Stegostoma tigrinum: one gene and its partner. The protein of the gene in region 1 purifies or fractionates together with the protein of each later gene. This does not show direct contact. Links are inferred from orthologs where the notes say so. Each region holds a gene or a part of one and is shown on either strand. Other genes may lie near its edges. The genes, in order: G patch domain-containing protein 2-like and csnk2a2b.

What was found.
Region 2: the proteins of G patch domain-containing protein 2-like (region 1) and csnk2a2b purify together in Homo sapiens (affinity purification with mass spectrometry; 5 studies listed by BioGRID and IntAct, counting the BioPlex papers as one, with this or other methods). This does not show direct contact. The link is inferred for Stegostoma tigrinum from reciprocal best matches to the Homo sapiens genes GPATCH2L and CSNK2A2.

The regions. Positions count from the first base shown.
Region 1 is NC_081363.1:1,721,349-1,732,668, reverse strand, and holds the start of G patch domain-containing protein 2-like, read left to right. Parts: upstream 1-5,747; 5' UTR 5,748-6,056; intron 6,057-11,320.
Region 2 is NC_081369.1:10,831,712-10,842,941, reverse strand, and holds the start of csnk2a2b (casein kinase II subunit alpha'), read left to right. Parts: upstream 1-6,646; 5' UTR 6,647-7,078; coding exon 7,079-7,182; intron 7,183-11,230.

The DNA of each region.
Region 1 (11,320 bases):
GACTGGGATAGAGAGAGAGAGAGAGACTGGGTTAGAGAGAGAGACTGGGGTAGAGAGAGAGGGAGCGCAACTGGGATAGAGAGAGAGAGAGGGACTGGGATAGAGAGAGAGAGAGACTGGGATAGAGAGAGAGGGGATGAGCGCAACTGAGAGAGAGAGAGGATGAGCGCTACTGGGATAGAGAGAGAGAGAGAGAGAGAGAGAGCGTGACTGTGATAGAGAGAGAGAGAGAGAGACTGGGATAGAGAGAGAGACAGAGCGACTGTGATAGAGATAGTGAGAGCGCGACTGGCATAGAGAGAGAGACAGCGACTGGGATAGAGTGAGAGAGCGAGAGCGACTGGGATAGAGAGAGAGAGAGAGACTGGGGTAGAGGGATAGAGAGAGAGAGAGACTGGGATAGAGAGAGAGAGAGAGAGAGCGACTGGGATAGAGAGAGAGGGTGAGAGCGAATGGGATAGAGAGAGCGCGACTGGGATAGAGAGAGAGAGAGAGCGTGACTGGGATAGAGAGAGAGGGAGAGAGCGAATGGGATAGAGAGAGAGCGCGACTGGGATAGAGAGAGAGAGAGAGAGAGAGACTGGGATAGAGAGAGTGAGAGCGACTGGGATAGTGAGAGAGAGACAGAGCGACTGTGATAGAGTTAGTGAGAGCGCGACTGGGATAGAGAGAGAGAGAGAGACTGGGATAGAGAGAGAGAGAGTGAGAGCGACTGTGATAGAGAGAGAGAGAGAACGCGACTGTGATAGAGAGAGAGAGAGAGACTGGGATAGAGAGAGAGACAGAGCGACTGTGATAGAGTTAGTGAGAGTGCGACTGGGATAGAGAGAGAGACAGAGCGACTGTGATAGAGTTAGTGAGAGTGTGACTGGCATAGAGAGAGAGACAGCGACTGGGATAGAGCGAGAGAGTGAGAGCGACTGGGATAGAGAGAGAGAGAGAGAGAGACTGGGGTCGAGGGATAGAGAGAGAGAGAGACTGGGATAGAGGGATAGAGAGAGAGAGCGACTGGGATAGAGAGAGAGACACAGGGCGACTGGGATAGAGAGAGGATGAGCACAACTGGGATAGAGAGAGAGAGAGCCCGACTGGGATAGAGAGTGAGAGAGAGACTGGGATAGAGAGAGAGAGAGAGAGAGAGAGAGAGAGAGAGAGACTGGGATAGAGAGAGAGAGAGACTGGGTTAGAGATAGAGATAGAGAGAGACTGGGGTAGAGAGAGAGGGAGCGCAACTGGGATAGAGAGAGAGAGAGAGAGGGACTGGGATAGAGAGAGAGAGGGACTGGGATAGAGAGAGAGAGAGACTGGGATAGAGAGAGAGGGGATGAGCGCAACTGAGAGAGAGAGAGGATGAGCGCTACTGGGATAGAGAGAGAGAGAGAGAGCGCGCGACTGTGATAGAGAGAGAGAGAGAGAGAGAGACTGGGATAGAGAGAGAGACAGCGACTGGGATAGAGTGAGAGAGCGAGAGCGACTGGGATAGAGAGAGAGACAGCGACTGGGATAGAGTGAGAGAGCGAGAGCGACTGGGATAGAGAGAGAGAGAGAGAGAGACTGGGGTAGAGGGATAGAGAGAGAGAGAGACTGGGATAGAGGGATAGAGAGAGAGAGAGAGCGACTGGGATAGAGAGAGAGACACAGAGGGCGACTGGGATAGAGAGAGGATGAGCGCAACTGAGAGAGAGAGAGAGGATGAGCGCTACTGGGATAGAGAGAGAGAGAGCCCGACTGGGATAGAGAGCGAGAGAGAGAGAGAGAGCGCGACTGGAATAGAGAGAGAGAGAGAGACTGGGATAGAGAGAGAGAGAGAGACTGGGATAGAGAGAGAGAGAGACTGGGTTAGAGAGAGAGACTGGGGTAGAGAGAGAGGGAGCGCAACTGGGATAGAGAGAGAGAGAGGGACTGGGATAGAGAGAGAGAGAGACTGGGATAGAGAGAGGATGAGCGCTACTGGGATAGAGAGAGAGAGAGAGAGAGAGAGCGCGACTGTGATAGAGAGAGAGAGAGAGAGAGACTGGGATAGAGAGAGAGACAGAGCGACTGTGATAGAGATAGTGAGAGCGCGACTGGCATAGAGAGAGAGACAGCGACTGGGATAGAGTGAGAGAGCGAGAGCGACTGGGATAGAGAGAGAGACACAGAGGGCGAATGGGAGAGAGAGAGAGAGAGACTGGGATAGAGAGAGAGAGAGCGCGCGACTGGGATAGAGAGAGAGAGAGCGCGACTGGGATAGAGAGAGAGAGCGAGTGACTGTGATACAGAGAGAGAGACTGGGATAGAGAGAGAGAGAGCGCGACTGGGATAGAGAGAGAGAGACAGCGCGACTGGGATAGAGAGAGAGAGCGTGACTGGGATAGAGAGAGAGAGAGAGAACGCGACTGTGATAGAGAGAGAGAGTGCGACTGGCATAGAGAGAGAGACAGAGCGACTGTGATAGAGAGAGAGAGAGAGAGACTGGGGTAGAGGGATAGAGAGAGAGAGAGACTGGGATAGAGGGATAGAGAGAGAGAGAGAGAGACTGGGGTAGAGGGATAGAGAGAGAGAGAGACTGGGATAGAGGGATAGAGAGAGAGAGAGAGCGACTGGGATAGAGAGAGAGAGACAGGGCAACTGGGATAGAGAGAGAGAGAGAGAGCGTGACTGGGATAGAGAGAGAGAGAGAACGTGTGCGCCTGGGATAGAGAGAGAGAGAGCATGCCTGGAATAGAGACTGAGAGAGAGAGCGCGTGACTGGAATAGAGAGAGAGAGCGAGAGCGACTGGGATAGAGTCAGAGAGCGAGAGCGACTGGGATAGAGAGAGAGAGAGAGAGAGAGACTGGGATATAGAGAGAGAGAGAGAGCGTGACTGGGATAGAGACTGAGAGAGAGAGCGCGTGACTGGAATAGAGAGAGAGAGAGAGAGCGACTGGGATAGAGTCAGAGAGCGAGAGCGACTGGGATAGAGAGAGAGAGAGACTGGGGTAGAGAGAGAGAGTGAGAGCGACGGATAGAGAGAGAGAGCGCGACTGGGATAGAGAGAGAGAGAGAACGCGACTGTGATAGAGAGAGAGAGAGAGAGACTGGGATAGAGAGAGAGACAGAGCGACTGTGATAGAGTTAGTGAGAGTGCGACTGGCATAGAGAGAGAGACAGCGACTGGGATAGAGTGAGAGAGCGAGAGCGACTGGGATAGAGAGAGAGAGAGACTGGGGTAGAGGGATAGAGAGAGAGAGAGACTGGGATAGAGGGATAGAGAGAGAGAGAGAGCGCGACTGGGATAGAGAGAGAGACACAGAGGGCGACTGGGATAGAGAGAGTGAGAGAGAGAGAGAGACTGGGATATAGAGATTGTGAGAGAGCGTGACTGGATTAGAGAGAGAGAGAGAGAGCGAATGGGATAGAGAGAGCGCGCGACTGGGATAGAGAGAGAGAGAGAGAGAGAGCGTGACTGGGATAGAGGGAGAGAGAGCGCGCGACTGGGATAGAGAGAGAGAGAGCACGACTGGGATAGAGAGAGAGAGCGAGTGACTGTGATACAGAGAGAGAGACTGGGATAGAGAGAGAGAGAGAGCGCGACTGGGATAGAGAGAGAGAGACAGCGCGACTGGGATAGAGAGAGAGAGAGAGCGCGTGCGCCTGGGATAGAGAGAGAGAGAGCGTGCCTGGAATAGAGACTGAGAGAGAGAGCGCGCGACTGGAATAGAGAGAGCGAGAGAGAGAGAGAGAGAGCGACTGGGATAGAGCCAGAGAGCGAGAGCGACTGGGATAGAGAGAGAGAGAGAGAGAGACTGGGATATAGAGAGAGAGAGAGAGAGAGCGTGACTGGGATAGAGAGAGAGGGAGAGAGCGAATGGGATAGAGAGAGAGCGCGACTGGGATAGAGAGAGAGAGAGAGACTGGGATAGAGAGAGAGAGAGAGAGAGAGAGACTGGGATAGAGAGAGAGAGAGACAGCAACTGGGATAGAGTGAGAGAGCGAGAGCGACTGGGATATAGAGAGAGAGAGAGGGAGACTGGTGTAGAGGTATAGAGAGAGAGAGAGAGACTGGGATAGAGAGAGAGAGAGAGAGCGCGTGCGCCTGGGATAGAGAGAGAGAGAGAGCGTGCCTGGAATAGAGACTGAGAGAGAGAGCGCGCGACTGGAATAGAGAGAGCGAGAGAGTGAGAGAGAGAGCGACTGAGATAGAGTCAGAGAGCGAGAGCGACTGGGATAGAGAGAGAGAGACTGAGATATAGAGAGAGAGAGAGAGCGTGACTGGGATAGAGAGAGAGGGTGAGAGCGAATGGGATAGAGAGAGAGCGCGACTGGGATAGAGAGAGAGAGACTGGGATATAGAGAGAGAGAGAGAGCGTGACTGGGATAGAGAGAGAGGGAGAGAGCGAATGGGATAGAGAGAGAGCGCGACTGGGATAGAGAGAGAGAGAGAGAGAGAGAGAGACTGGGATAGAGAGAGAGAGAGTGAGAGCGACTGGGATAGAGAGAGAGAACGCGACTGGGATAGAGAGAGAGAGAGTACGCGACTGTGATAGAGAGAGAGAGAGAGACTGGGATAGAGAGAGAGACAGAGCGACTGTGATAGAGTTAGTGAGAGCGCGACTGGCATAGAGAGAGAGACAGAGCGACTGTGATAGAGTTAGTGAGAGCGCGACTGGCATAGAGAGAGAGACAGAGCGACTGTGATAGAGTTAGTGAGAGTGTGACTGGCATAGAGAGAGAGACAGCGACTGGGATAGAGTGAGAGAGCGAGAGCGACTGGGATAGAGAGAGAGAGAGAGAGACTGGGGTCGAGGGATAGAGAGAGAGAGAGAGAGACTGGGATAGAGGGATAGAGAGAGAGAGAGAGCGACTGGGATAGAGAGAGAGACACAGAGGGCGACTGGGATAGAGAGAGGATGAGCGCAACTGAGAGAGAGAGAGAGGATGAGCGCTACTGGGATAGAGAGAGAGAGAGCCCGACTGGGATAGAGAGCGAGAGAGAGCGCGACTGGAATAGAGAGTGAGAGAGAGACTGGGATAGAGAGAGAGAGAGAGAGAGACTGGGATAGAGAGAGAGAGAGAGTGGGTTAGAGAGAGAGATAGAGAGAGACTGGGGTAGAGAGAGAGGGAGCGCAACTGGGATAGAGAGAGAGAGAGGGACTGGGATAGAGAGAGAGAGAGACTGGGATAGAGAGAGAGGGGATGAGCGCAACTGAGAGAGAGAGAGGATGAACGCTACTGGGATAGAGAGAGAGAGAGAGAGAGCGCGACTGCGATAGAGAGAGAGAGAGAGACTGGGATAGAGAGAGAGACAGAGCGACTGTGATAGAGATAGTGAGAGCGCGAGTGGCATAGAGAGAGAGACAGCGACTAGGATAGAGTGAGAGAGCGAGAGCGACTGGGATAGAGAGAGAGAGAGAGACTGGGGTAGAGGGATAGAGAGAGAGAGAGACTGGGATAGAGAGAGAGAGAGAGAGAGAGCGACTGGGATAGAGAGAGAGACACAGAGGGCGACTGGGATAGATAGAGGATGAGCGCAACTGAGAGAGAGAGAGAGAGAGAGGATGAGCGCTACTGGGATAGAGAGAGAGAGAGCGCGACTGGGATAGAGAGTGAGAGAGAGACTGGGATAGAGGGATAGAGAGAGAGAGAGAGAGAGAGAGACACTGGGATAGAGAGAGAGAGAGACTGGGGTAGAGAGAGAGGGAGCGCGACTGGGATAGAGAGAGAGAGAGAGAGAGAGAGAGAGAGAGCGCGACTGGGATAGAGAGAGAGACTGGGTTAGAGAGAGAGAGAGAGAGAGAGACTGGGATAGAGAGAGAGAGAGAGAGAGTGCGACTGGGATAGAGAGAGAGAGAGAAAGACTGGGTTAGAGAGAGAGAGAGACAGAGAGACAGAGAGAGAGACTGGGATAGGGAGAGAGAGAGAGAGTGACTGTGATAGCAAGGGAAAGGGAGATTGGGATAGTGAGAGAGAGAGGGTGATTGGGATAGAGAGAGAGAGAGACTGGGATCGATATAGATAGAGAGAGAGCATTTGTGAAGGAAAAAAACCGAGTTAATGTTTTGAGTCCGGTGACGCTTCGTCAGAACTGCTACAGGCAAGCTGGCTGGTTTTTTCTTCCTGATTTACACCATCCGCAGTTCTTTCAGTTTTTATTAAGTAGTTGGGCATGTTGGGAGAGTCGGCAATGGGGAAAGGCGTTGGGAATCTGATGCACAAGGGGGCTTGGGAGTCTCCATTCAGGATTCTCTTAAGGTTAATGTGTGGGTTTTGATTTAATTTATTGTCACGTATCGAGGTACAGTGCAAAGTGCTGTTTAGTGCGCGATATATCCAGATCGTTCCGTACCAAGTGCATCAGGCTGCCAGAACAGAGTGCAGAATACAGTATGACAGTCACAGATAAAGTGCAGAGAGAACGAGATCAGAACTAACATTGGAGATATTCGTTTAAAAGCCTGCTATCACCAAGGCAGAAGCTGTTCTTGATCTGTTTATACGTGTATTCAAATTTTTATACCTCCTGCCCAATGGAAGAGGGTGGCAGAAACTATAACCAGGGTGGGAGGGATCTTTGATTAAGTGGGCTGTTTACCTGGGGCAGTGCGGAAATATAGGCGGCGTTAGTGTAAGGAAGGCTGGTTTGTGTGCAGGTCTGGGCTGTGTTCACAACTCTCTAGTTTCTTGTAGTTTTAGGAAGAGCAGTTGCTGTACAAAGTCTTGATGCATCCTGATGGACGCTTTCTCTGGTGCATCGATGAAAATCGAGAACTTTGAAGACATGCTGCCATGAATGTATAAGGAGTACAGTAGGGAACCAGTGTTGAGGACCATTGTGGAGGAGGTGTTTTTGTTTATCCTTGCTGATTGTGGCCTGTGGATCAGGAAGTTGAGGATCCAGTTAGAGGGGGGAGCTGGGAACTAGGTCTTGGAGGGTAGAGATGAGTTTGTTTGGAATTATGATGTTGAAGGCAGGGCTGTACTCAACGAGCAGGTGCCTGACACAGGAGTCTTTGTTATCCAGATGTTCCAGGGATGAGTGCAGGGCCAGAGAAATGGCATCCTCTGTGGATCTGTTATGTTGGTAGGCAGACTGTAGGGGATTGAGGCAGGTTGAGAGCTTGGACTTGATGGTGGCCATGACCAGCATCTCAAAGCACCTCATGTTTATTGAAGTCAGAGCTATTGGACGTTAGTCATTAAGGCACACTGCATGTGCTTTCTCTAGTACGGGGATGGTGGTCTTCTTGAAGCAGGTGGGCACTTCGGCTTGTAGGAGGGAGAAGTTGAAGATGTCCAGGAATGCGCAGGATCTGAATGCTTGACCGGGGACACCAACTGGGCCCATCATTTTCCTTGGGTTGACTCTCAGGAAGACTGATCTGACTTCTGAAGAGCGATAGACAGAACAGGTGTGCCTCAGGCTGTTGGGGCAGGAGTTGCCATGCTGGTGGTATTCTGCTCAAACGGAGCATAGAAAGCATTGAGCATGTCAGGGAGGGATGCATCGTTGTCCGCTATCTTATGCTGTTTCATTTTGTATCCCGTAAAGTCGTTCAAGTTTTGCCATAGACATCAGGGATCTGTTTGGCAGGTCTGGGCCTCTGACTTGGTCTGGCACTGCTTCTTGGCCTCCCTGATGGCTTTGCGGAGGTCATATCTGGATTTCCAGTATTGGTCTAGGTCACCCGACTTGAATGCTGCATGCCTGGTCTTCAGTAGGGAGTTGATTTCCTGGTTCATCCAAGGTTTCCAGTTGGGGAACACTCTGATTGACTTCTTTGGTACAACTTCCTCAGGGAAATGTCCCCGGCCCATCCATTTTCAGCTGCTTCATCAGTGACCTTCCCTCCGTCATAAGGTCAGAAGTGGGGATGTTCGCTGATGATTGCACAATGTTCAGCACCATTCATGACTCCTCAGGTACTGAAGCAGTCCATGTTCAAAAGGAGCATGATCTGGACAATATCCAGGCTTGGGATGGCAAGGGGAAAGTGATATTCACGCCACACAACTGCCAGGCTATGACCATCACCAATAAGAGACCATCTGATCACCGCTCCTTGACATTCTATAGTGTTACCATCACTGAATCCCCCACCATCAACATCCTGGGGGTTACCATTGACCAGAAACTCAACTGGACTCACCACATTAACACAGGGGCGGCAAGAACAGGCCAGAAGCTGGGAACCCTGCCGGGAGTAACTCACCTCCTGACTCCCCAAAGCCTGTCCACCATCTACAAGGCACAAGTCAGGAGTGTGATGGAATACTCCCCACTTGCCTGGATGGGTGCAGCCCCAACAACACTCAAGAAGCTTGACACCTTCCAGGATAAAGCAGCCGCTTGATTGGCACCACATCCACAAACATCCCACTCCCCCCACCACCGACACTCAGCAGCAGTTTGTACCATCTACAGGATGCACTGCAGAAATTCACCAAAGATCCTCACAGCACCTTCAAAATGCACGACCGCTTCCATCCAGAAGGGCAAGGGCATCAGACATATGGGAATACCACCCCCTCCAAGTCACCCACCATCCTGACTTGGAATTATATCGCTTGGAGCAGTTTACATGGTGTAAGCCTTGCCACATTGGCAAAGTCCATGAGGTTGGTCTAGGTCTCAAGCTGAATTTAGTATTGCCTCTTGGCGTCTCTGCTGTCTTTGTGAATGCCATTCCTGGGTTTCCTGTATAGGCTGGGGTTGCCCAACTTGTACACCTCCGATCTGCACTTCAGCAGGGAGCGAAGCTCCTGGTTCATCCAGGGTTTTTGGTTGGAGAAGGTTAGAACTAACTTCTTCCACATGCTGTCTTCTACACATTTACTAATGAAGTCTATAACAGGAGGGGCGTGCTCCTTTAGACTTGTTGCTACGTTTATGAAAATGGACTCGAAGCAGTTCCATAGAAGCCCTTCCATTACCTCACAATAGCACAGCACTACTTTCTGTACTGGGCCCTCGCACTTCAGTTTCTGTCTGTCAGCCGGGAGGAAGTGCACAGCATTGTGATCGATTGATGGAGTGGTTGGTGCCTTCGGTTGTACAGAAGTGGTCGAGGATATTGGGATCTCTGGTGGGACAGTGGCGATGTTGATGGTATTTTGGTAGCATGTTCCTGTGGGTGGCCGTGTTGAAGTTACTGGCTGTGATGGACTCAGGGTATTCTGTCTGTGGTCTGTCGAATTGTATACTTTGTCAAGAGTACTGTCACTTCCACATGGGTTGGGATGTAGACCGCGGTCAGTGTGGCAGGGGTGAGCTCACACAGCAGGTAGTAAGGACATCACTTTACTGTAAGATATTCTAGGTCCAGGGAGCAGCAGGATCACCACGAGGTGTAGATGTGGAAGTAAACCCCTCCATCCCTTGACTTGCCCTGGGACACCAGCCAGATTGTACAGTGAACTAGAAACCCTCAGGTTGTAAAGCACCCTCAGGTGTAGCAGGAGGGAGCCATGCCTCTATGGGACAGAGCACACAGCAATCTCTCAATTCCCTTTGCAAGGTGAATCGAGCTTTAATTGTTTTCAATGGTTTGAACATTTGCCAGCAACATGCTGGGGAGGAGGGGCAGATGGAGCTTGAAACCCTGAAGTTTCAGTCTTACCTGACATCTGGTGTGTCTCCCAGGTTTCCTGGGTAGGCGGCTGTCCCCAGTCAATCCGCAGTGTTGCTGAAGTAAGTCTGTGCTCCTCGCGGGTTCCCAGCCACCAGTCACAGCCCTGACTGCCCCATGGGGTTCTTGTGGTTGGTTTGGTCGGGCCTCCTCAATGTCAGCTAATTGTGGGGTCAGGCCCTGTCCCCGCATCGGTCAGACCATGTTCCCAGATTTCCACAAGGAGCCAGGCTTGCGGGAGTACAGTAGACCCCTGGTCCCTCTGGGCTTGCGGTTCCAACATTGGTTAGACAAACCTGAGAGAACGTTGTTGGTAATTCTGATGGACATAGCAGCAGAATGACTGTGACATGTAAGAATAAGATCTGCTTCAGACAGCTCACAAAATGTCATACGATCTGGTACAGCCATCTTCTAAAAGTTTAGCAGGATCCCAGCAAGGAGGTTCAGCTGGCAGCTAGGAAGGCAAATGCAGTGTTAGCATTCAGTTCAAGAGGGCTAGGATACAAGAGCAGGGATGCACAAGGCTGTATAAGGCTTTGGTCAGGTTTACTTTGGAATATTTTAAGCAGTTTTGGGTACCATATCTGAGGAAGGAAATGCTGCTGTTGGAGGGAGCCCAGAGGCGATCCCAGGAATGAAGCATTTGTCATATTGGGAGAGCGGTTGAGGTCTCTGGATACGTACCTGAAGGAGTTTAGGAGGCTGAGGAGGACTTCTTATTAAAACATACAGAATAGTGAGAGGCATGGGTAGGGTGGACATGGGGAAGATTTCTCCACTAGTCAGAGAGATTAGGACCCACAGGCACAGCCTCAGAGTGAAGGGACAACCCTTTAGAACTGAGATGAGGAGGAATTTCTTCATCCAGAAGGTGGTGAATCTGTGGAGCACATTGTCACAGAGGGCTGTGGAGGCCAAGGCATTGAGTATTTAAGACAGAAGTAGCCTGAAGGTTCCTGATGAGTAAGGGGATCAAGGGTTACAGGGAGAAGGCAGGGCAATGGATTTAGAAACATACTGGCCATAAACGAACAGTGGAGCACACTGTGCTGCTATATGTTATGGTCCTCTGCCTTGTCATCATTAGTAGGAAAGCTGATGGAGGCCATGAAGAGATCAATATACACTTAGGGAAAAACAAGTCAATGTTTGCCAGTCACCATGTCGTGGGCAGGTCATGTCTGACAAGTTTAATTGAGTTCTTTGTCTGGGTGACACGTGCAGTGGATGGGCGTGGTGCTGTGGATGTTATATATTTGCACTTTCAGAATGCATTAGGAATAGTGCCACATCGCAGGTCGGATAGCAACTTAGAAATGTTTGGGCCTGATGGCTCTTTGGGGCAGCGTGGGTTAGAAGGTGGCTAAAGAACAGGATGTAAAAGGTTGGGAAGGATGGCCATTTCTCAGGCTGGAGACCAATTAGAACATAAACTGTACTGCACAGGAACAGGCCCTTCGGCCCACCATGTCTGTGTCAACCATGATGCTATTCTGAACTAATCCCATTTGCCTGCACATAGTGTGTATTTCTTTACTCCCTGTTCATGTGTCTGTCCAAAGTTCTCTTAAGAGAGAAAGGTACCTTGTTTAATTTTATCTTGAGTTTAGAGCAGTTGAGTTGAAGGTTGTGTTCAGTGTTGGGATACTTGCTTCTTCGGATATATCTAACCAGTTTGGAGGTGGATGTGGGGGCAAAATCTCTAAATTTGCTGATGACCCTAAGCTAG
Region 2 (11,230 bases), on another chromosome or scaffold:
TGCCTTTGAAGTGACAAGGATGGCCTGAACAAGTAATATCAACAACAGTATTAGCAATCACTTCGAGAGAGCAAATTTTGGCCTATCTTGTCTATGGTTGGTGTGGTTCCAATTCTGGGATTACAAAATGCAAGTATAGGAACAGAAGGCACAATTATTAAGTTTACAGGTGAAATGAAAATTGGCAGTGTTGTTGATAGTGAGGAAGATCGTCTCAGACTACAGTCTGATATTGATCAGCTGGTAGATTGGGTGCAGCAATGGCAAATCGAATTTAATCTCAATAAGTGTGACCTGATACATTTTAGGAGGTCTAATAAGGGAAGGTATACACAATGAATGGTAAGTCCCTAGGGAACACTGAAGAACAACGTGACTTTGGTGGTCAACACCCTAATTCCCTGAAGATGTCAGCAGAGACAGATGGGTTGGTGAAGAAGGCATAGAGGATTCCTTCATTAGCCAGGGTAGAATATAGGATCATGGAAATTGTGTTACGACTTTATAGAACATTGGTTAGGCCACAGATGGAATATTGGGAAGTTCTGTTCACTGTGCTATCAGAAAGATGTGATTACACTGGAGAGTGTGCAGAGGAGTTTCACCAATGTTTCCTGAGATGGAAAGTGTCAGTTATGACCAGAGGCTGGATACAGAGATATTCTTTGTCTTCCCTCGATCAGAGGACACTGAGGGTGGATCTGAGTAGGTATGCAAAATTATGAGACACATAGAGTAGATTGTGAGAATCTTTTCCTCATGGCACACATGACTAAGACCAGAGGGCTTACGTTTAATGTGAGGGGTAAGTGGTTTAGAAGTGATCTGTGGAAAATTTGAGCTTCCCTGATTCCCTGAATCAACAATCTCTGGTGTTATGGATCACAACAAATTCTCTCAAAACATGTCAAAAACCATATCTTTTTCTAATTTTAAAGGCAAGTGGCAGGCATTGCATTCTGGATGCAATTTGATTGGTCAAGCTATCAGGTTTGAAGCAAAACTTTATTCATGCACTACAGTTAAAATATAGACAAACTAAAATTAAAAGAATTGGTTTAATTGTAACTCTATCAAAATACTTAACAAAATAATAAACTACTGATTAATTTTTCTGATATAGTGACATCCCATTAGCACACCCTTGTCACACATGCAATTCCAGCAGCAGGAAGCTTTTAGCTGTAGAGAGAGAGATATAGCAGCTTTCACAACATCAACAGCTATTAAAAATGATACTAAAGTTCCTGGTTCTGTGGGAGCCCACAGGTCGCTTCTATTGTTCCAACCTTTTAAAAAAAATCCCAAGACCTCACAAGCTGTTTACTTTATTGACTAGAAGCAGACCACTCAGCATCTCTGTCTCAATCTCTTCACAGACAAAATACACTTCTTAAAGCCATAGTAACATCACATTGGATATCATCAAATCTGGACAACATCGCTCTATTTTCTGTTTTTCTTTATTTTAATCTTTATAGTAAATTTTAGAATTCATGGTTCTTTTAAGGACAGAAACATTTTAGGATATATTTCGTAATGAATTATTCTGCTGCTGAGTTGGAGTAGTGTGCTGATGTGACTGTGGCCTAGAGACTCTAGGAGGTGTAAATAGGCAAATCCTGAAGCCAATTAGAGGCCAAAATCTTACTGGAGGTGATTTTTTTTTGTAGATTGACAGTGAGGCATAATCCCTAATTGATCCCAAAGGACAGAAGGAGAAGGTACTAAATTATTCATTTTCTTTCTTTTTTTCAATGCATTTGCCACATTGAAGTTGATTACCTGAAGACTGATGGATGCACATTAAATGCAAGATTTTTATATTTACTGGATGATCAGCTTTGGCGCTGCTTAGGGTGAGTCAGATAATATCTTATGGGATTTGGTATTTAGTTTAACATGAGCACCATTTCTTTATGATAGTTGAATAAGTCAGACTTTTTATCTTGATGTATTGTGGATATCTTCGTGAAAGTTTTAGCACTTGAATTCCATAATTGTTTCATTTTAATACATGATATGCTACTTTATGAGAAGATTATACCTTACAGTAGAGAATGTTTTAGTCTAACAATAAATTTTAGATATAGGAATAGAAATAAATTAATAGAACAAAATTGTTGACTTGCTCGCCGAGCTGACTTGTTCTCGTTCAGACGTTTTGTCACCATGCTAGGCGACATCATCAGTGTATCAGTGCTCCACTATGATGTCACCTAGCATGGTGACAAAACGTATGAAAGAGAACAAACCAGCTCAGTGAGCAAGTCAACAACCTCATCTACAACCCAAGCTACAGATGTTTGCCAAAACATTAATGGAACCAACTAAAGGACAAAATGTAACTCAGTTAAGAAGGATGACAAATTTAATTGAAAAACTCATTGCAGTGATTTTTGAACAAAATAAGTGGGAATTAAAATAAATTAAGTAAAACTTGCATTAATGTAACATCTTTCACAGACTCTAGACATTGAGTAATTTACAGGCAAGGAAACACATTTATGTGGTCAATGATGTAATTATGAAAAGTGGGAGTCATTTTTTTATGGAGCAACGAAATGACCAGATCATCTGTTCTGGCTGTTACTTGATGGTTCAGGGTTTGCCAGGACTGAGAGAACTCTGCGTTTTATTTCTTTGAATAATGCCATGGCACTTTTACAGTCACCTGAGAGGTGCTGAAGGCTCTGATTCCAGAAGCAGGATTTGAATCCATAAACTTGTGAGTCGGTCGGAAGTGTGACCACTGCACCAGGGCTCACACCTTAATATTTACATGAAATTAAAATGTGTGCTTTATGTATTGTAAAGAAATGCTTCTCAAGATCTGTTCCACTCTGACCCACCATTTGCCGCTTCAAAATCAGTCTGACCCAGTATGCCAATAAAAATTTTAAAAAGGTTTGTAATATTTGTGTTGTTACAATGTTACATATTTTACAAAGAAAATTAATCGAACTTTAAAATACATGCAAAGAATCTTACAAGATGGTTCTCAGAAGTGACGTGACCGCCTTTGTGAACTCAGTGGTGTTGAGACCAGACCATACTATACAGTACTTATGTCAAGAAGAAATTGACCAGACATTTTGAAGCCCAGCAGATATTTCCAACAGTAACTAGAAAGTCTTTGGCAGTGGTTTCCCTGAAGTTGTGAATAGCTGTGCTTATCTCTCCAAAAGACTACAGAATAAGAACCATCCAAGCAAATGGCTAAAGCAGTTAAGAAAAAATACCTAACTAAAATATAATGAATGGGTTTGTGCCTAAGATAATTCAATACAGAGACAAAATTCAACAGTTTTGGGATAGCAGCTATTTTAAGTTTTGAACTGTATAGAAGTCTGATTGTGAACAACCATTTCATGCAGAAGAGGAGAAGGGGTTAACATTTCTACACTAGTTATTAAAGACCCAGGTTACTGATCTTTGGTCAGGGGTTTGAATCCCACCTCAGCAAGTGGTGGAATTTAAATTCAATTTATAATGGAATTGAAACCAGTTTCAATGATGTTGCAGAAGCACAGTTGGTTCACTTGTCTTTTGGGAAAGCTGGCTCTAAATATGTCTCCTCAGCTACAGCAATGTGGTTGTCTCTTAACTGCCCACTGAAGTGAGCCTCCCAATTCATTCAGTTCAAGGGCAATTAGAGATGGGCAGAAAATGCTGGCTTTGTTCCACAAAATGTTTGTTTTAAAAATGTGAGAAACGTTTTAAAGCAGTAACTGCTTTTCAAGCAGGAGACAGAAGAAAGTTTCCAGATTTGCTGCACTGAACCAGACTACCGATAGTCAGAACAGGTACTGCTGTAAAAATGAAAGTAAGGAGCCTGCGCTCACTTCCAAAACACTTCTGCTTAGTTTACTGTGGCAGCTGTTTGACTACATTGCACCCAAGTTTTCAAACCCTTCAGGTCAGAAAGAGAATCTTCAAGCAAGCCAGGCCTGCTTCATAGTAGACACTGATATCAATTTCATCTTCATTTGTGACATTCATCCTCACTTACTTTAAATCTTTGAATCTGTATTTTAACAAATAATTTGATAGGTGTTTACTTGAATAAATTTCAACAATTGTTTTCTGATAATGTGTACAATATATTTTTGTATTTTGGAAATTTTTCTTTTTAAATTAGAGGTAATATAGATTTTGGTTTCAGTGCTGTGAAGGTAATTTTTTGAAAGAGATCAGAAAATAATTTGTGACATTGAAGTAAATACATGATTTATAAGAAAGCAGATGACTTAGTAAGTGCCTGTCAGGGTAGCCAGGGTGTTAATTTATTGAATGCTTCCCAAGTGGAATTTTTATCACATACAGAGGAAACAGTACAGGACCGTTAGCTTTTTTTGAATTCAGTTCACAATCAGGTTTCAGTTCAGTAGGGCAGTTTCAAACCAGCAGCGATATTTCAGTTTGTGAAGTTTTCAAACTTAGAGTTGTGTGGAATTTTTCACGCTATCGGAATTGAGAAGTGGTTTATGCTAATAGAGCTAGAAATAAGTCCCTTATCAATCACAACTGGAAAGATTCGGCTAAGTAAGACATTGCAGCATTAAAAGTATTAGAAACTCTTTAGTAGGATTCTTTTCTCATTCATTGCACATGGGCATTGCTGTTTGACCAGCATTTATTACCTGTCCCTAGTTGCCCTTGAGAATGTGGCGGTGAGCTGCATTCTCAAACTGCTGCAGTCCATTACTGTAGGGAGGGACTTCCAGGATTTTGACCCAATGACAGTAAAGGAACAGCGATATGAGGCTGCCTTGGGAGACAAGGGAGGAAATCATAGACCCTAACCCAAATTTTTAATTCTTCTCTAGCCAAAGGAGGGGTGCGAGAGGACTGAAGGACAGCTAATGTGGTTCCACTTTACAAGTGGAAAGGATAAATCAGGAAATTATAGACCAGCGAGTCTCAAATCAGTGGCCTGGAAACTATTGCAGAAGGTCGTGAAGGAGAGAATCAATCTCCATTTAGAGTTGCAAGGATTCATCAGGGTTAGACTGCAAAGTGTTGTCAGAGGGATTCTAACAAATCTGGTTGAATTTTTTGAGGTGATGAAGTGTGCAGATGTGTGCAGTAGAATTGATATAGTTTGTCTGGATTTCAGCAAAGATCCCCCATGGGAGAAACACATGTTAACAGCAGAATAATACAAAGATAAAACCACATGGAATTCAGGGTAGATTGGCAACTTGGATACAAATTTGGTTTAGTAGTAGGAGAGGTTGTTGTCAAAAGTTTATGTGATTGGAGGTTGGTGTCCAGTCGGGCACCATAGGAATGAATGCTGTGGCGCTTATTGGTCATGATTTATATAAATGATGTAGATGAGAATGTGGAGGGAATGATAGGTAAGTTTGATGCAGAGATTGGCCGGATGGTTGTCTGTGAAGAACGATTTTGGGTTATAGGAAAATTTAATGGATTGGTCAGATGGACAGATCGAAAGCAGAAGGAGTTTAGTTAGCTCTGGTAAATGTGAGGTGATGTGTCTCCCCTTGCTGTTTAGCTCCTACTGTGAACTTATGCTGAAGTCGTGGGCTCTACCATAGCAGCAGAAGTTGTTAAGTACGGCTCGTTCCAATTGCATTGACAAGTCTATGCCACTAGATGGAGCTTGGCCAATAGAAACTTCCTCAGGTGAAGGTAGTGCTATAGTAGAGAGAGCAAGAACTGCAGATGCCGGGAGTCGGAGACAGCCCAGTGTGGAGCTAGAGTCAGGCTAGGCAGCATCAGAAGAGTCGTACTTAAACTGGATTTTTCTGCTGTCAAAATGTATGTTGCTTTAAGGTTATTTTATTTGCGTAGGTAGGCACTTAAGAATATGCACCATTTCAACTTAATATTTTAAAATGCCTCATGGTCTTTATGCACCTACAGTCAACGTCCCTAATGTCAAAACATGAAACCGCTTATAGGGTGAAATGCCAGTTGGTGGGTAAATGCGAGACAACAAGATGTAGAGTTGGATAAACACAGTAGGCCAAGCAGCATCAGAGGAGCAGGAAAGCTGATGTTTCGGGCCTAGACCCTTCTGTTCAGGAAGCTGATGCCTTGCGTAGACTTTACAGGTCCACACAGCAGACGGAAAAAGTCAGAGGGAATGCAACTTACTGTATATATGATATATATTTAGTTTATAATTGTTAATTTAACTTGCAAGTTATTTCATCTAGGAATACGCAGCACCGCATATGCATGGCACAGTATTACAACTTGAACATTATTATCACAAAAGAAGAAATGCAGAAGGAACGTGACTCCAGTTTTATTTCTATCGGTACCAATGATTCACACAAGTTTCAGCAACGTCTCCATATAATCTATGAAAACCTAATATTGGCGGGTGTTACAGTTTGTGGGGATTTTTCTGTCTTAATTCCTTAATCCCTTTGTGCCGCTACCCGTGTATTATTCTGTAAGGCATTAGAGCCTGTGGTAAGCGTGTGGGTCATGTCTCATTAAACAGCGCCAGGTGCCGCAGTCGCTGGAGCGGACAGCCGGCGTCGCTCAGCTTCAGTGGGGTGCCGCGAGGGGTCGCTGCCGCTGGAGTGTGCAGCCGGCATCGCTCAGCTTCAGCTGGGTGCCGCTAGGAGCCGCTGCTGCCGGCGCTCGTCATCCTGTGGCCCTCGGTGTCTTCTCGCTGATAGAGCGAGCTTGTGACCGGTTTCTCAGGGTTGGGTCCGCACCCGGCGGAATATTTTCTTCCGCTGCGGGCCTCCCTCAGGGAAGTCCGGTTCGGTTTTGTTGACTTCGGTCTGTTCTGCTCTGCTGTTTGATCCTCCGTAAGGTTTCTCATAAGCTCGTTGCTGTTGCCCCGACCGTACCCATCTTTTTCGGGATCCGCACTGGGCCTTTCTAATCGACCCCCCGCGCCCCGGGGGAGTTCCCGCTGGCTCCACGAACCCTGCTACTGAAGTTATCCCGGGTGGTGCTGCGTGGGTTGAGGCCGGGCCTGGCTCCCGACTGTCAGTCTGCCCCGTGGCGGTGCGGCTTCTGTGTCCCCCCCGCTGCCCCCTCTTGGGGATTTCGTCCCCTTATCCCAGAGCTGAGCCCTGGCTCTGCCATGCCGGGTCCGGCTACCGGGAGCAGGGCCCGCGTGTATGCCGAAGTAAACAGCCTGAAACCCCGCGAGTACTGGGATTACGAGTCACACGTTCCTGAATGGGGGTAAGAAACACAGTATGTTGTAGCAGTGAGGTTAAAATATGACTTGAATGCATAGACATCTGCCTGTAGGCGGGAATATATAGATGCTTGTTGCGTGGATTAATGAAAATGTATATACCAGAAAAATAGTAAAGTCTTGATGTGTGGAAACCTTGTGTATATGTCTGGCGGATGTTTAAAGGCGTGTATAGAATATGGAAACGTCTAATTCGTATAAAAATGGACTGTAATTGACTTGGTTATACCTAATACGTCTAATTGTTAATTACCCAAGAAATGCTGTGAAAACATGTTCTGTCATGGTATGATTTTTTTTCCAGTCCTGTGTCAATAACCTGCCCCACCTCAAAGTCCGTATCAATCAGCACTAGCTTTTGCAGTCATTAATGGTGTGGAAATGAAAATTAGTTCAGTTGCTAATGACTTTAAGTCATATCCTGAGCCTAAAAGTTCACTATTTAGGTTTCAAACTCTTGTCTGAGAAATTTGGAAGACTATTTCATTTCATGAAATTTTCCTAAATGGTAAACTTAATATTGTTGCCTGTTTTACTGCTAATTTAGTTCATTGAGGTATTGGAGATTAGATCTGTCACTGGGACTAAGAACCTTTTCATGGTTAGAGATGGCAGGAACTGCAGATGCTGAAGAATCTGAGATAACAAGGTGTAGAGCTGGATGAACACAGCAGGTCAAGCAACATCAGAGGAGCAGGAAAGCTGATGTTTTGGGCCTTGACCCTTTTCTGAAGACATCAGCTTTCCTGCTCCTCTGCTTGGCAATCTGTGTTCATTCAGCCGTACACCTTGTTATCTCTCCATCTTTTCATGGTGTCTATTTAACATAGGAGCTAATAATGTGATAAGCAGCAGAAAGCTTGCATGTGCCTAGGTGGTTAAAGTGTTTTTAATGTTTTTATAAACCTGTTCAATTGTACTATGATACACCTCTGGAGTAGGTAGAATTTCAACATGGGTCTTCTGGTTCAGAGGTGGGGAGGCTGAGCCACAGGAGTCCTATTAAGATGTTTTATATTTGTCGTCTTGTTAATTTCTGCCTAAATACTTGGCCTGCAGTAAATATGACACATCCTAACTTTGAAAAGCTGTACCCTCCATGTTCTGTAAGTCGAAACAACTGAGTGTGTTTCTGAAAGATAGTGTGTTTGGAGGTTTAACATGGCGAATGATTACTTTCTGGTGATAGGTATCTGCTATACATAGCAAAAAAACAAGTCACCAATGCCTGATAACATTTATTTCCCATTAACAGTTTTTTTGTGTTGAAGGTTTGCTTTTAGTGTTGAACGTTTACTGAAATAGACTGTTCTTGTCATGGTTTCACTTGCCATAATGTTGACAGTTAAAGGCTCGGTTAAAACGCTCGTTCGAATGAGGGTTGAATGCGGTCTAGTGGTACAATCCAAAAGTATCCAGTGTTTGGGGATGTCTAGTGAGGAGTTTATTGTTGAGATTTGTTTCACCCATGCTTTAAGCCCAAGACCCAGACACATTTCCAGAGGTGAATCAGAGATTGGTGATTCTTAGGTGGTCAAAAGGTTGCATCCAATTTCAATGAAGCTCAGCTTGGTTCTCAATAGCCTTCGCTACTATTTATGTGCCTTTGGAACATGATGCACCTTGGCCCAGTAACTGTGTGTATGCAAAATAGTTTCTCATCCAAATTCTCTGGCATCAATTTATGTTGTGATATACAGATATTAACTTGACATAGCAACTTCAGAATTGATTTGTATTGGTAGATACATAGAGTTTCTCGACTGTGCAAATAACTACTGAGGATCCATAAATATTTTAATATAATGTTCTTACTGAAAGTTGCCAAAACTAAAGTGAGAATATTTGAAAATTGAATATTTGACTGAGGACTTGTTTAAAATGCTTTGACGAGAGAAGGGAATCAAGACTCTTAGTAAATGGTGGGATGGGTGATGGGAAAGAAAATTGAGAAAATCTTGTAAAATGTAAAGAGCAATTACTGTTAAGCAGATAACAAAAAAAAACATAGAATGAAGTTCCATGCACTAAGACTGCAGCTGAGCTTTTCCCGCAATGTGTTGTGTTGCTTTCTCATCCAGTCTAGTTGGTGTTTTCCAGTTAAACACTTGGGAAACCTAAAATACCACCTCAGGCTTTCAACAAAAGTACTGTGTCCTCCCCTCTAACTCCATAACATTTCCAGTGCAACTTTGATTTCCAGATTTGTCACGAGCTGACGAGCAGATTCTTTATTGTTGCTCCCAAAGACTATTGACTTACACCTCAAAAAAAATTATGTACACCTAATTACGCCTTAGTCATGACTGACTTAGTGCTCCACTCCTCATTGCCTGGCACTCCATTCCCCATAAAACAGAACTGTTTTCGTCCTCCCACCTTAACCTGTAGCAAATGTTGATCCTGACTTACGTTGGCTCTTCATCCCTTAACACCTTGTTATTTCTGAACTTCTCTAGCTTTACTTTCCCTCTTTTCTGTCCCTGACACATTCATCATCTAATTTTGGCCTCAGATGCACCAGTTTCTCACCAATATTGATCATGCTTTCAGCTGTCTAGACTTTTATACCCTGGAATTCTGTTCCTCAACCTGCCGGTATCTAAGTTTCTTCTCCTTTGACAATTCTTAAAATCTGACTTTAGTTTTCAGAAATATTGATTAATTTATCCTATTGCTTTGTTCTTCCTTGTACTTTCTCTGAAGCACCATGAACTTTTTTTTTCCTGTACTGAAGGTGTTTTGTACTCTAATTGTTCTCAAAAGAGCCAGGATAGAGCATGACTTTCTTCACGTCTCAACCCTGCTTTCAAGGCGAGGTGGTGAACCAAAGCCAGCTGTGTCTTCACTGTGACCACCTGGTAAACAAATCTCAAATTATGTGGGCATGGGTCCATTTTGTCATATGCAGTTTGTCCAAAGTGGCATGTATTCTACTCTGGAAGAAAATAAAAGTTTGGGAGATCTGACAGTAATAGTAGATTCAATACGCCACATGTAGAATAGCAAAGAACAGACAAGCAGAACCCTGCGCAATATTACTTGATCAGTGAGTCTGAATCTCAGCTTTGCCTCATGAAGCAATAAATTAGTTGGGCCAAAAGCAATATAAATTAAATGAACTTGAGATTGATCCCAAATATTAAGAGATTCTTGCAAAGAAAAATTCGGGAAAAAAACTTTCATGCCTTTATATTAGATTACTGGCCAGCATTTTTTAGTGGGTGAGTAAAAAGAGTAACATAGAATGCAAGTTAGTTGATAAGGAATGGAGCAAACTAGGAAAAAGTAATTTCTGGTCTAAAGTCAAGAAGCACTAGTGAAGGTTAAAAATTCTCATCATGTCAGTGTTCCACTGCTGGCACATGAATGTCTGTTTTAAGGATAAGCTAGCTGAGTCAAATGTTGCATTCTTTTGTATGAAGTTTTGGAATCATTGTCAAATTGTTTAGAAACTGAAGGCACCATTTCATTTAAAGCAACCAAATGTAATGCTATTTTATTGTGTAAAAAAGGGAATAGTTATGAGAAGTCAATTATTGTCATGCGTCTCATGTCTTTTTAAAATTTCTGTCCTCTCCCCTTAAAAATGTGCCCCCTAGTCTTGAAAAACTCCATCTTAGGGAAAAGACAACCCCCATCAACTCTATCTATACCTGCCACTTTTTATGAACTTCTATTGGGTCACCTCTCAACCTCCCATGCTCCCAGTGAACAAAGTCCTAGCCTATCCAGCCTTTCCTTATAACCCAAACCTTCCATACCTAGCCACATCGTTGTAAATCTTTCCTGAACCCTCTCCAGCTTAATAATCTCCGTCCTATAGCTGTGCAACCAGAACTGGACACAGTATTCCAGAAGAGGCCTCACCAATGTCCTGTACAACCTCAACATAACGTCCCAACTCCTATACTCAATGCAATGAGCAATGCAAAAATGGCAGAGGGAGTTCAGTCTGAGTAAATGTGAGGTATTGATTTTGGTACAACAAACAAGGGTAGGGCTTTTATGATTAATAGGGCTTTGCGTAGT